Drosophila melanogaster: one gene and its partners. The gene in region 3 interacts genetically with the main gene of each other region. Each region holds a gene or a part of one and is shown on either strand. Other genes may lie near its edges. The genes, in order: SNF4Agamma, Nep1 and Bace.

Region 1 (3,754 bases), on a different chromosome or scaffold from region 3:
TATCTTTTTTTAATTTCTGGGCATTCGCTTGAAGTGTGCTTACTTAATTAGTCAATGTCTAAAATGTAGTAGGCATCGTGATAGGGTACTTTTACATTTAAAGAAATCCACTCACGATTTTATAACCATAACTTCAAATGAGTTTCGACAAAAAAAAGTCGTATGAAGAATTCAGGTAAGACCCTTTGAATTGTTTTATGTTATTATATTTTACATTGCCTGATTTAATACTGTTATTCCTGTTATTGATACTGTTATACACTATCTATTACATAATTGATCGCTTTTATTAAATGTTTTCTAAATATAAAAAAATTTAATAAAATTGTTTACACATTCTGAAAATCTAATTATGAAAAAATTTTGGGCGATTTTGGGTATTTTCCCAGCGTCGCCGCGAACTGGGGGAATTTCCCACCCACTCAACTTAGTCACCGACACAAAAGGCAGATGAAAAGTTTCGGGGAAAATCAAACGTCAAGCGCTCATATCAACACAAAAAGAAAATAAAGGCAGTGAAGTAAATCAGGTTTTCGATAATTATAAAAAGAAAATAAATTGTCACCCACCTTTTGTGTGTTTTTATCAGTAATTGGATGTTTCTGATTCGCGCTGGCAGATTGCAGAATCACAATTGTCGAATTTCGGTTAAAAAATTAATTTCACGGACACAGGAACGCATACACACATCCGCACATTCACGTACACACTAACACACATTCACGTTCACCTGAACGGGTGGAAAACAAAACTTTTGTAAACAATTTCGCGATTAGGCATTTAGCTGCGCTAAGAAATTATTGTAAATAAGAAGAGACGTAACGAATTAGCTGGTTGTGTTGGCGCATTATATGTTATATATATGTTATGAGTGTATATTCAGAGATTAGAGCGAAATTATAATGACGACTTTTCGCTGGATGTCCAAACACTTTCGAGGTGTTGACTTTTCAGATTAGATTACAGCACTCATTTCACTCGGCTAATTATCAGCCATTTGGTTCAACACCAAATAAATCACAAAACACGAAAACACCAGCAACAACAACCGAATCGATCTTAATAAAAGCAAAGAATGCGAGCCATAAAAATCAAGAATCAAAATGAAAATTTATTCGGGCGCGCGCTTCCACTTTGGACTCGACTTTCCAATTGGAACACGCAGTGATCGGACAATGGAAGGGGTGAGAAGAAGAAGAGGAGCAGCAGGACGTTGTTGTGTTTGCCACTTTTTATTAAGAATCTAAACCATTACTGCGCGAAACACAGCTAGAAACTGACACAAGGAACAAAAACAGAAGAATAGCAAATCTGGGCAAATAAAAGTATTTGTCCGTGGAAAATTTCCAAAACGTTTCTGTCGCTCTTTCCAGCGACGCCATGTGTTTGTTTGTATGCGTAACAGCTGATCGCCGATTATTGATTTTTTATAGGGATGTACATATGCACACATGTGTGTGTATGCATGGGCAGGAAAAGTGATTAGAGGCTATTGTTTTGTGTAACAAGAAAGAAGTTTCACAATTCACTTGCGCACTCAAAAGAACAAAGATCGATTGTCCGTTGTTGCCGTTGTTGTCACTGCAATTTCTGCAATCCATTCGCGCACAATTAAAAGCTGTTCACGCAGCTTATCACAGAAGAATTTTATGGCTAAGCCACCCACTGGCGCGGACATGCTATCCTGACACCATGCCGGAATTTTCTCTCAATTAAATTATTTATTATAAATTAGTAAGAATTTAAGAACATTTAATTTGCTTTGTTTTTCACTGCACTCCCGTTTTTTAACGCGAATTAAAAGTTTTTCCCAACCTCGTAATCCGCTGCGTTTTCACCAAGCAAAGTTCGCAACCTAACTCACGATTGTGGTCATCGTTATCGTTTGCGAAATCCAGCAGAAAAGGTCTTACTCTTCGCCTATCGTTATCGCTAGAGATCTTTTTACAATCCAGTTGGAATTAGCGTGACCACAACTGTAACGTTGTTTTAGTATTTTTCTATAACTCGTTGTTTGCAATTTTACTGAAATATGTGCATTTAAATAGTAAATTCTTAAGTGCCCACTCGCGTAAGTAAATACGCACATATATCTACTTATTTATTCAATAAACAAGAATCATTGAGAATTCTTTAGTTGCGTAGAAGTTATTTTAAATAAAATGCGCTTTGCTACTTTCCGGCGGCGGTCACACTTAAAAAACAACGCGTTGCCAGATCGGACCGTGTTCGCAATAGCAATCAGTTTTTGTCATGCACCGCCGCTTTAGGCGCCAAAATGATATAAGTTTGAATTGCAAAAATTGCTCCGCTCTGTAAATCACGCCGAACATACAAAATAGAAAACATTTTAGCTATAAAAAAAACTTTAGCTTTTATAAAAAAAGCTATAAAAGCTATAAAAAAAACTTTAGCTAGCTTTAGCTAAAAAAAATTAAACTTATGTACATAAGCATATTCCTATTTCCATCATAGTGCTGGAAATTAGATTTTATGCCCCATAAATAATCATAACCAGTTGCCTTGGCATGCCTTTCACACTTTCGGAGCCCACCCAAACTCTTTGAAACTTCAGCTAAGCCAACAAAAATCAATAAAAATGGCGCATTGCACAGAGGCCACCGAGGAGCACACAATGACGCCACCAGAAACAGCAAAATACTTGAAATCGGAGTCGATGAATTTGCCACCATTCACGAACTTCATTTAGACCATTCCAAATAGGTCCAAGGACGCAATAAATACATTTGAAGTACTCTCGAAAATAAGTTTCCTCGATGCTCAGGGTTTTTTGCTAGCTCGATCAATCAATCCCAGCCGAGGAACTGGGAACACTCACCTGCTCGATGTCGAAGTCCCATTCGGGCGATGGAGAACGCGCTGTTCGGCCGCCCGGCGGAGGCGTTCCCAATGCGGGGGAACCGGCTTGGGGCTCTTCGGGAATCACGGCGAAGCGACCCCGCTGGAGGATTGGCGAAATGGCGCCATAATTAGCTGCAAAGGCGAAAGAAGGGGTCAGTATTCAGCACCATGCATTTATTATCGAGAATTTGACCAAAAGATATCAATTACTATTAGCATAACTGTAATGATTAATGTCGTATACTTTATATAAACTCAAATTGTAAAGGCGAAAAAGTACCAAATCAACTTACACGTGGGCATGAGACGAAAGCGGCCGAGCGTCGTTTCGGGCGGGCCCTGTGGCGTGGAGGAGGTGACACGGAAGCGTCCTCGGCGGGCGGCGGCCACGTCCTCGTAGTTGCTGCCCCCCGACGCTCCGCCGGCACTGCTCTGCATCCTGTGGCTGATGCTTCCTTGTCGGCCTCGCCGAAAACTGCAATGGAGTGTGAGAAAAATCAAATCAATATTGCGCACAGGTGGCAAAGTTCTTGTTTCCTTTGACTAAAACAACTGAAACTCAATTAAGCCAATGGCATTAGAGTATATTGATCTTTGATGGAACTATATAAAACATTTTCCGTAAATTCTCTAATATAAAAAACTTAGCAAAACTTAGATATAAAGACGCTTTTATGAACACTAAAATTAACCAATCAAAACAATTAAAACAAATGGTCATTGATTTATATATCTTGCATTATACATACCTAATTTTATATAGACTTTACTTGAACGAATTTTAACTAATAGTTTCAACTCAACTACAGCTAACATTTCCTAACATTACTAATACGCCACGTTGGCTCTATGGAATGACTTTAGTTCAACGCTGTTGGTTTTTTTGGCTTGG
Region 2 (3,754 bases), on a different chromosome or scaffold from region 3:
ACAAAAGAAAAACACCCACATTTGTGTAATTACTTTGTGACACTTTTTTTTTTGGCCACTCGATGCGGCAGGTAATCGCGGAAATTGCGTTGCCCATTCGATTTCGCTGATTGATAGGATACCTGTCCACTGTCCACAAATTCTCAACCGATCATATATGGGCGGCTTGGTGGAATCTCGCCCGAAATTCGGTGGGGAGTGTGTGGATTCCCCCGCCCTTTAACGTAACCAAGCCACCCTCACCCTACGAACAAAGAAAAGCCATCATTTGATCGATTTTCGTTAGCTGATTGCCATCCTAGCTCACAAAAATAGATTGAAAGTTTCCAAACACGCGCTTTAAGCTCCAAAAAAAGAAATGGGCGCCCAACAGGTGGCGTGAATACACGGCGAGAAAAGTGGCGTGCTTTCAAGTTATCAACTAATTTAATTGGCCCAATAAATAAATAGCTAAACATGTTTACATAAAGATAATTTTTATGAGCTCAGGGCATCTGTCGTAAATGCTTAAATTACCATGCACATGCTTACTAGCATTTTATTATTTTCCCAGGCCAAGTCAATAAGTTAAGTTGATAGTAGCAGTAAGCAGTGATAAGAGGTTTTCAGTTAAAAAGTGCAAATGCACTAAAAGTCTAAAAATGAAAGGTGGCTTATAGAAAATTTAATTACTTTTCAGGCGCTTGATTTTTTCCAGTGCAGTAGCGTGTGTTCCTACCACAAATCAAAGTTAGGCACTTCCAATGTTCCGGCTCCTGCTCCCATACATAAATTCCCAAATGGACAACTACTCCCAGCTACCGGTTACCTGGAACTTTAGTTTTGGCGCAAAACTTTTGGCATGTGCGTTTCAGCTATTCCTTTTTTCACTATTGACATTTGCGGATTGTGGCTCCTTGGGCGCCATATGGCAGCCAAAAAGCAACGAGGAGAACCTCGATAAGCACAAATTTTAACCGAAACTCTTAGGAACAAAAACTGAGTGACCACACGAAACGAATTCAGGGGTGTTAATTATTTATTGCAATTTTAAGTTGTGTGTAAGTTTCTCGTTTTATTCTTGGACAGGATATTCAAAATGCTTCCCTTGCCAACGCTTATTCCTTTTGCGTGTTTGGCGTGCGACTAAACCATTTTTTAATCGCTTAGTTTGCCGGGCCGGTTAAAACAGAGCTTTTTGAGGCAGAAAGCTCGATTGGGCGAAGTGAACACTTGTTGAGTGGCAATGCGCTGATTTAGGCACCTGCAAATCTAACTAAATTTATTATAAAATAGTGTTAATAAAGCTTCCTGAAATGAGTAATCAACCAAGCACTTACAACTGATGCCATCGAAGATGCTATTTAAAAATACCGCCAACTGGCGGTGGAAACGGGTTTTTTTTGGCTGCCCCATGTGTTAGGGCTGCCAGCTGAGCTGATAGCCTTGCCACCTTGCGCGACTAGCACACTTGTCAATTTGTTTTTCTTTCGTGTTTATTATTTCCTAGATTTCTTTTGAGCTGGCATTTCGTTCTGTTTTTCACGTTTTAACCCCGTTTTTCGGTAAACCTCGTTTCTAATCTCGTGACAAGTTTTTCCACCGCCCGGAAAGATGCTAAGCCAATTTTACTGCTTGTTTTTGTTGCTCCTCCACTTCTTCGTGGGCGTGACGTTGTCTGAAGAGGGGGAGTGCCGCCGCCTTAATCGCGCAGATATCGAGGGCAGACTGTCCACAAAGACGCCCTACAGAGCGATCGCAAATTATGACGAAACGCCACCGAAATACGCCGGTTTGTATTTTTGTTGTTTTCTGTGTAACGCACCCACAGTAGGCACCCGCTTAGAAATACAAACATGTGTTGTGCCATGTGACAGTTAACAGCGCTCGCTTAATACAGTGAATTCATAATCATGAAAGCATATGGATTCTTTATTGATCATAAAACAGAGAATCGCTTTAGATTTGTTATTATACTATTACTAGTTTATTATTACCGATGCCTACTGCTAGCAAATGGCAATGGAACAGCTGATTTTTCTCTTTTAACCGTTTCACCCGACAAGGCTGCCATCCGACGCGAATTTGGACCATCATCCGACACGGAACTAGAAATCCTAGCGAATCCGTTATCCTTCAGGCGCAAAATCGACTATCAGAGATAAAGAAACGCATTCTGGATCAGACGAAGCCGCCGATCTGCACCGCTGAATTGGAAAAGCTGCGCCAATGGCACTGGATGCATCTGAATGCCACTGAAGATGAGAAATTACTGGTGGCCGAGGGTGAGGATGAGCTGATTGAGCTGGCGGAACGGATGCAGCGGCGATTTCCGGATCTACTTCCGGAGTTGTACAATCCGGAGTGGTACTACTTCAAGTATACTGCGACCCAGAGAACGCTGAAAAGTGCGGAAAGCTTCGCTACGGGTTTGTTCGGCCGTCATCGCATCCATACTGTACGATATCCGCCGCCTTTGCACGAGGATCCTGTTTTGCGGGTGAGCAGTCCTTTAGTTTTTTCTGTCAATGTAACCAAAACAAACTTTTGAATTACGCGCTACAAATGAGCTTGTAATGATCTGGCAACGCCATTCATTACAGCTAGGCCATTTCGCTGTTAGTTTATTATCGATATCAATGTTGTAAACCGCTTGCCAGCGTGCAATCGAAAAAATCATCGATTTTTGTTCCAGCTCTATTTTCTGCGCAATTCTTTTCGTATAATATAATTCGATTAAACATAAATAAATAAACCCAAGCGAAAGTAAATAAACCTGTTAATGCGCACCATCTTCCGTCGGAGATCGCTCGCTATAGTTGTACGGTTTTTATTTTGTCCCGGCATCGACCTAATCAGCCCAGGCGGCGTGTTTTCCCCGAGTTCTTTTTACCCGTTTTCGGGAAATGGTCCGCGATCCGTAGGCGGAAAACGTGGAGAAGAGGAACGTGGAAAGAAAAGCAGAAAAGCGCGGAGCGGAGCTGAGGAGGCGCTGGCGGTGGTGGAGGTGCGGAAAGTGCGAAAAGTGTTTGGGGTTATGTGCTAGAGTCCCCTCGGGGGGATTTTTAGCTGATTGAATCCGCGACCGAGACGTAATCGCTCCGGGAAATCGCTCGCATTGAGCTGCACCCTCTCCTCGGCAAACGGAAAAAGAAAAAAAGCAATACAGCGAGAAACGAGAGAAACAAAAAGCACGCAGAACATGACAAGTGCCGTTCGCGCTAAGTCCGCCGCTGCCGCAGTCGGCGTCGCAGTCGACGAAAGCAGCGGCAGCAGCAACGGCAGCGTCGCGGATCAAGAGGTGGCCTCCAGCAAGGAGGCCGTCCTGAGCGTCCTAATCCGCAAGAGATACGAGAAATATGTATTCGCCCCGTGGGACGATCCGATAATCTTGATAATGGAGCAACTGGAGCACATCGAGCACTGTCGATCCGCCGCCTTGGGGAACCAGGTGGCCATCGGCCGGGACCCATCTCAGGACGACTCTCTGAACGACCTGGGTAAGGTGATTAGCAACATGAGGCAGGACCAATCACTGGTACCAATCGTGAAGCACATCGAGCAAATATCCGACATTCAGGCCTCCAACGGCCAGGAACTGGCCTCCCTCGGTTCTTTGAGGGAGCTAATCCGGACTATCAGAAAGGAATGGCCCCGGGACGACTCTATCAAACTGCGGTTGAAGGAAATACAGATCCTGGGCATGCCGCCCGCTCGGAGCTTATGCTTCGGCGAGCGTATCCGCGACGACAGGTGCCCGCTCTCCCTGCAGACT
Region 3 (3,754 bases):
TTCCCCCGGGCTACCAGAGTCCCCACTTGACACCCGGTGACACACATCATTGCCCGGCCAACAGGCTGGACAAATGAATTGGCTCCCGGAGCTGATGGCTTCTGTCATTGCCTTCATAACACCATCTCCTTTGGGTCCGGAGTCAACATTTATCCCACAGCCAGCTGGGAATTTGCGGACTACCGGATAACACATTTGGATAACCACTTCAGTCTCCTTAAGTGTCAATAAATAAATAAATGGAGTGGTATTTCTACGTAAACGATAGCTTAAATTATATATACTTTATACATTCTCGAACAATTTACAGAAAGTCCAATGTGTAATTCATTTATTATATGAAATGCAGATAAGCATAAATAGCCATGACTGTAAAACGCAATTGGAGTCGCTTACTCACAACCTATCCACTTACAAAGTTGTAAACAGATTAGATTGTTACACCTTCAGCCTTCGAAAGGTGACCCACTTGAGGTGACCCAGACATTTGGTAGAAAATTCTAAGAGCTCGTTTCTTTATTGATTCGTAATTGCGGATCGTTAATTAGGCGACTGGGGCGAAGCCAATGCGGTTGTTGCCCAAATCGAACTCGGTGTAGTACTGGCCAATGAAGACATCGCCCAGAATCCAGAAGTCGGTGCCCATGTACTCGAAGGCGGACATACAGTTGCCGTCCGACTGGATGATGTAGGCCGAGGGCTTCAGGACGAAGTTGGTGCCACCGATGTTGAAGGTGACATCGGGCAGGGAGCTGACGCTTGAGCAGTCCAGATAGCCATCCTCACCCACGTTCAGGATCTCGGAGAGGGTAATGTAAGCATTGTAGGGAGCCACGATCAGGGAGGTGCCGGTATCGGCAATAGCCTGGCAATCATCACACAGCGAGTAACCGTCAATGGAGGATCCAGCCATGGTGAACTGCCAGTAGCCCTGCTCCGAGATGGGAACGTAGGTCAGAGCGCCAGAGTACAGAGAGGCATCGGAGCCACCGAAGATGAGTTCACCACCCATAGTGGAGGTGCCATCGCGGGCCAGATAGAACGAGAAGACGGAGTTGTCGACCAGACCCTGGGACACCATGTTGTAGAACGGAGGAGCCACACCATCCACGGCCAGGGACTCATAGGCCATACCGAGAATGCCATCGAAGTTGGCATCGTTGAAGTTGGTGCCCGGCTCGTTGGTGGATTCAGCAAAGGTCTGGCTCTGGATGCTCAGGCCATTGACGTCGACGGTATCGGTGGACAGGTAGCCAGTTAGGCTGCCAGTGCCATACTGGATGGAGAAGGATTCGCCGTTGGCCACGTAGGTGGAGCTGGCGCTGGAGTCGTACTGGTTGTGGGTCAGGCAGGCATCGCTCTTGCAGGTGTTCGATGGCACCCACAGGTTCGAGGAGCCTGAGTCGAACAGAACCTTGAAGCTCTGAGCGGGAGTTCCGATGGAGATGGCTCCGTAGTAAGCCATATTCATCGAGTTGGACAGCTGTTCCTCATCCACGCTGCGAAGCGAGGGCAGCTGGTACTTGGTGCGCAGATAGGATTTCTCGGCCAAAACATTCTGACGCGTCTTCACAAAGTTCTGCTCCTTGAGGATCGGCACGCGATGGAGCTCGGCACTGGCCAGGGCTGCCAGGAGCACTACTACAGCGATGGTCTTGAACATTCTCTTGGTTTCTAGTCTACTCGAGTTCGACTAACTGACGATCGGTGTAGCGGGTCTAATTTATAGCACTTGCCATCAATCACAGCCCAAATTGTCCGGTGATAAGATTTGTTGACCACTCCAGTCTTAAGCAGTATGAGTTCTTAATGCTCGTCCGGCATTCGATATTTATAATCTGGCATATTATCATTTCAGGTGTGAGGTGATATTTCGATCTTTTCGATAGCGTTCTCAAGAAGTGAATCCTAAATTCCAATACGCAGCTGGACTTTGTTATGATTGGACATTTTGAGTGACTTTGATAGTGCTTACATTACGCGATAATAATAAGTGACTCTTCATGGTAATTTGTTTTAATATCATTGCATGATTAAGCTCACAGATAAGCCAATAAATTAGAGATAGCGATAAGTGTGTTAGGGTTTTAGGGTAAAACCATGCATTTGGGAAATTCACCAGGCATATTGGGCAAAACCCCTGCTTAGCAAAAAGCCAAATCATTTAGTAACTAAGGATGATGATATAATTGCTCGAGCATTAACTCACATTACCAGAATGAATTTGTTTTCAATTGGTTAATTTAAGGAAACGTGGGAATTTGATCGTTTTCAGCCAAGAGGAAACGCATTCACCTCGGCTTAAATTCCCTTCCAATCAAGTGGTTACACTCGAGCACTTTCACCAGCTATTTGCTCGGTCATATAAAAATATAAATTTCGTTTTAGCAGATAAAAAAGCAAATGCAGGTCCGGCGGCAGTCATCTTCTTGCCATGGCTCCTACTACCATTAAGCTTAAGACCCTATTGAAATCAGATTTAAAATCAAATAAAATGCCACTTCAATTGGCCAAGAAGGACAAAGGAGATTCATGGTTTCGATTGCGTTTTATTGCCAGCGCAGGGACTGTTTGCACATGTGGGATGGTGGGATGTTGAGCAGTAATGTGAGGATTTCTGGGTGGTGATTCTGTGTGGTGGTCAGCCACAGGTTAATTGTGGTCCAGAGCATCCGCTCTTATCGCCGAGGGCTAGTAACACACGAACAGACAAGGGGCCAAAATGGAGGTGTCCACGGGCGAGTGCGTTGCGCACTTTCGACCCAAAATAAAGTAATCAACGGATTTTACGCACCGTCGGGCAATTTCGGTAACCATACTGGTAACTGGGCACACGGGGCGTATGATTACCGAGCGACGTGGGCCGCCTGCTTTTTGTTTCTCGCATTCCTGCGTTGACATTTCATGTGCAATTATTAGGCTGCTCAAATAGCGCCCATGCCCAGTCCCCTTCAACCGTTTATCAATCATTTTTTGATTTATGGCCCAACGCGAGTGGATTGAACTGGAGTTGATTGTAGTCGGCAAATACATAAATAAAGTATACGCCCGGGGTGGCTGACCAACTAACCGAACAACTCACCGAATTGTGTGCGCTTGTATGAATTTCGATTTATTTTTATTTGCTGTGCGTGGACATGGCTTAAAGGCTTAGACCGAGATGCAAATAATATTTAACCAAAAATAATCAGCAAACATTCACAATTGGTAAATATATTTCATACAGCACAGAGGCAGAGCCAGAAAACAAATAAATTGCTATTATGGATAGTATCCGGTTCGGTCAGTGAGCATTTGCCTCCGAGTAATCAATAGGTGGGCGATTCGTTCAGGCAGGAGCACCCACTACTCATCCTTCTTCTACTCCACATCGAATTCTTTCCGCCGATTGCATTTTCACAGCTTGCTCGATCTCCGATGCACCCACTCGTGGTTTATGAGCCTCGGAGTCAGTCAAGTGCCAGGCGATTAATCGAGCAAGATATTGATGTTTCAAATCAACACTAGCCAGCGAACTTTGGCCTATAAGCACATTAAATATAACCCGACTGCGATGACAGATAAATTAAACAAGTGAAAATAGTTCAGTTAATGTTTTCAGTTAAATGAATTGTCGGGGAAAAGAACATTTGCTAGGGCTCATAAATGGAATACTAATTCTGATTGCTTATTTTCTTCCTACAGTTGGAACTAAATAATGTTTTTTCATAGGAGCTTCATTCATAAGAGCTTTTTAAAGATTGCCTTTTACAAA

What was found.
Region 1: of Bace (region 3) and SNF4Agamma, changing one enhances a phenotype caused by changing the other (phenotypic enhancement), as found in Drosophila melanogaster (one study listed by BioGRID).
Region 2: of Bace (region 3) and Nep1, changing one enhances a phenotype caused by changing the other (phenotypic enhancement), as found in Drosophila melanogaster (one study listed by BioGRID).

The regions. Positions count from the first base shown.
Region 1 is NT_033777.3:21,154,473-21,158,226, reverse strand, and holds the start of SNF4Agamma (SNF4/AMP-activated protein kinase gamma subunit), read right to left. Parts: upstream 1,866-3,754; 5' UTR 1,816-1,865; intron 790-1,815; exon of another isoform or gene 731-789; 5' UTR 570-730; intron 1-569.
Region 2 is NC_004354.4:6,089,134-6,092,887, reverse strand, and holds the start of Nep1 (neprilysin 1), read right to left. Parts: upstream 1,594-3,754; 5' UTR 1,320-1,593; intron 1,256-1,319; 5' UTR 673-1,255; intron 1-672. Other genes in the region: raptor, read left to right, coding at 3,182-3,754; Mipp2 (multiple inositol polyphosphate phosphatase 2), read left to right, coding at 1,594-1,771, 2,046-2,479. UniProt on the Drosophila melanogaster protein: Metalloendoprotease which functions in fertility and memory formation. Required in the dorsal paired medial neurons and alpha/beta mushroom body neurons for the proper formation of long-term and middle-term memories.
Region 3 is NT_033779.5:8,494,606-8,498,359, forward strand, and holds Bace (beta-site APP-cleaving enzyme), read right to left. Parts: upstream 1,703-3,754; 5' UTR 1,664-1,702; coding exon 545-1,663; 3' UTR 288-544; downstream 1-287.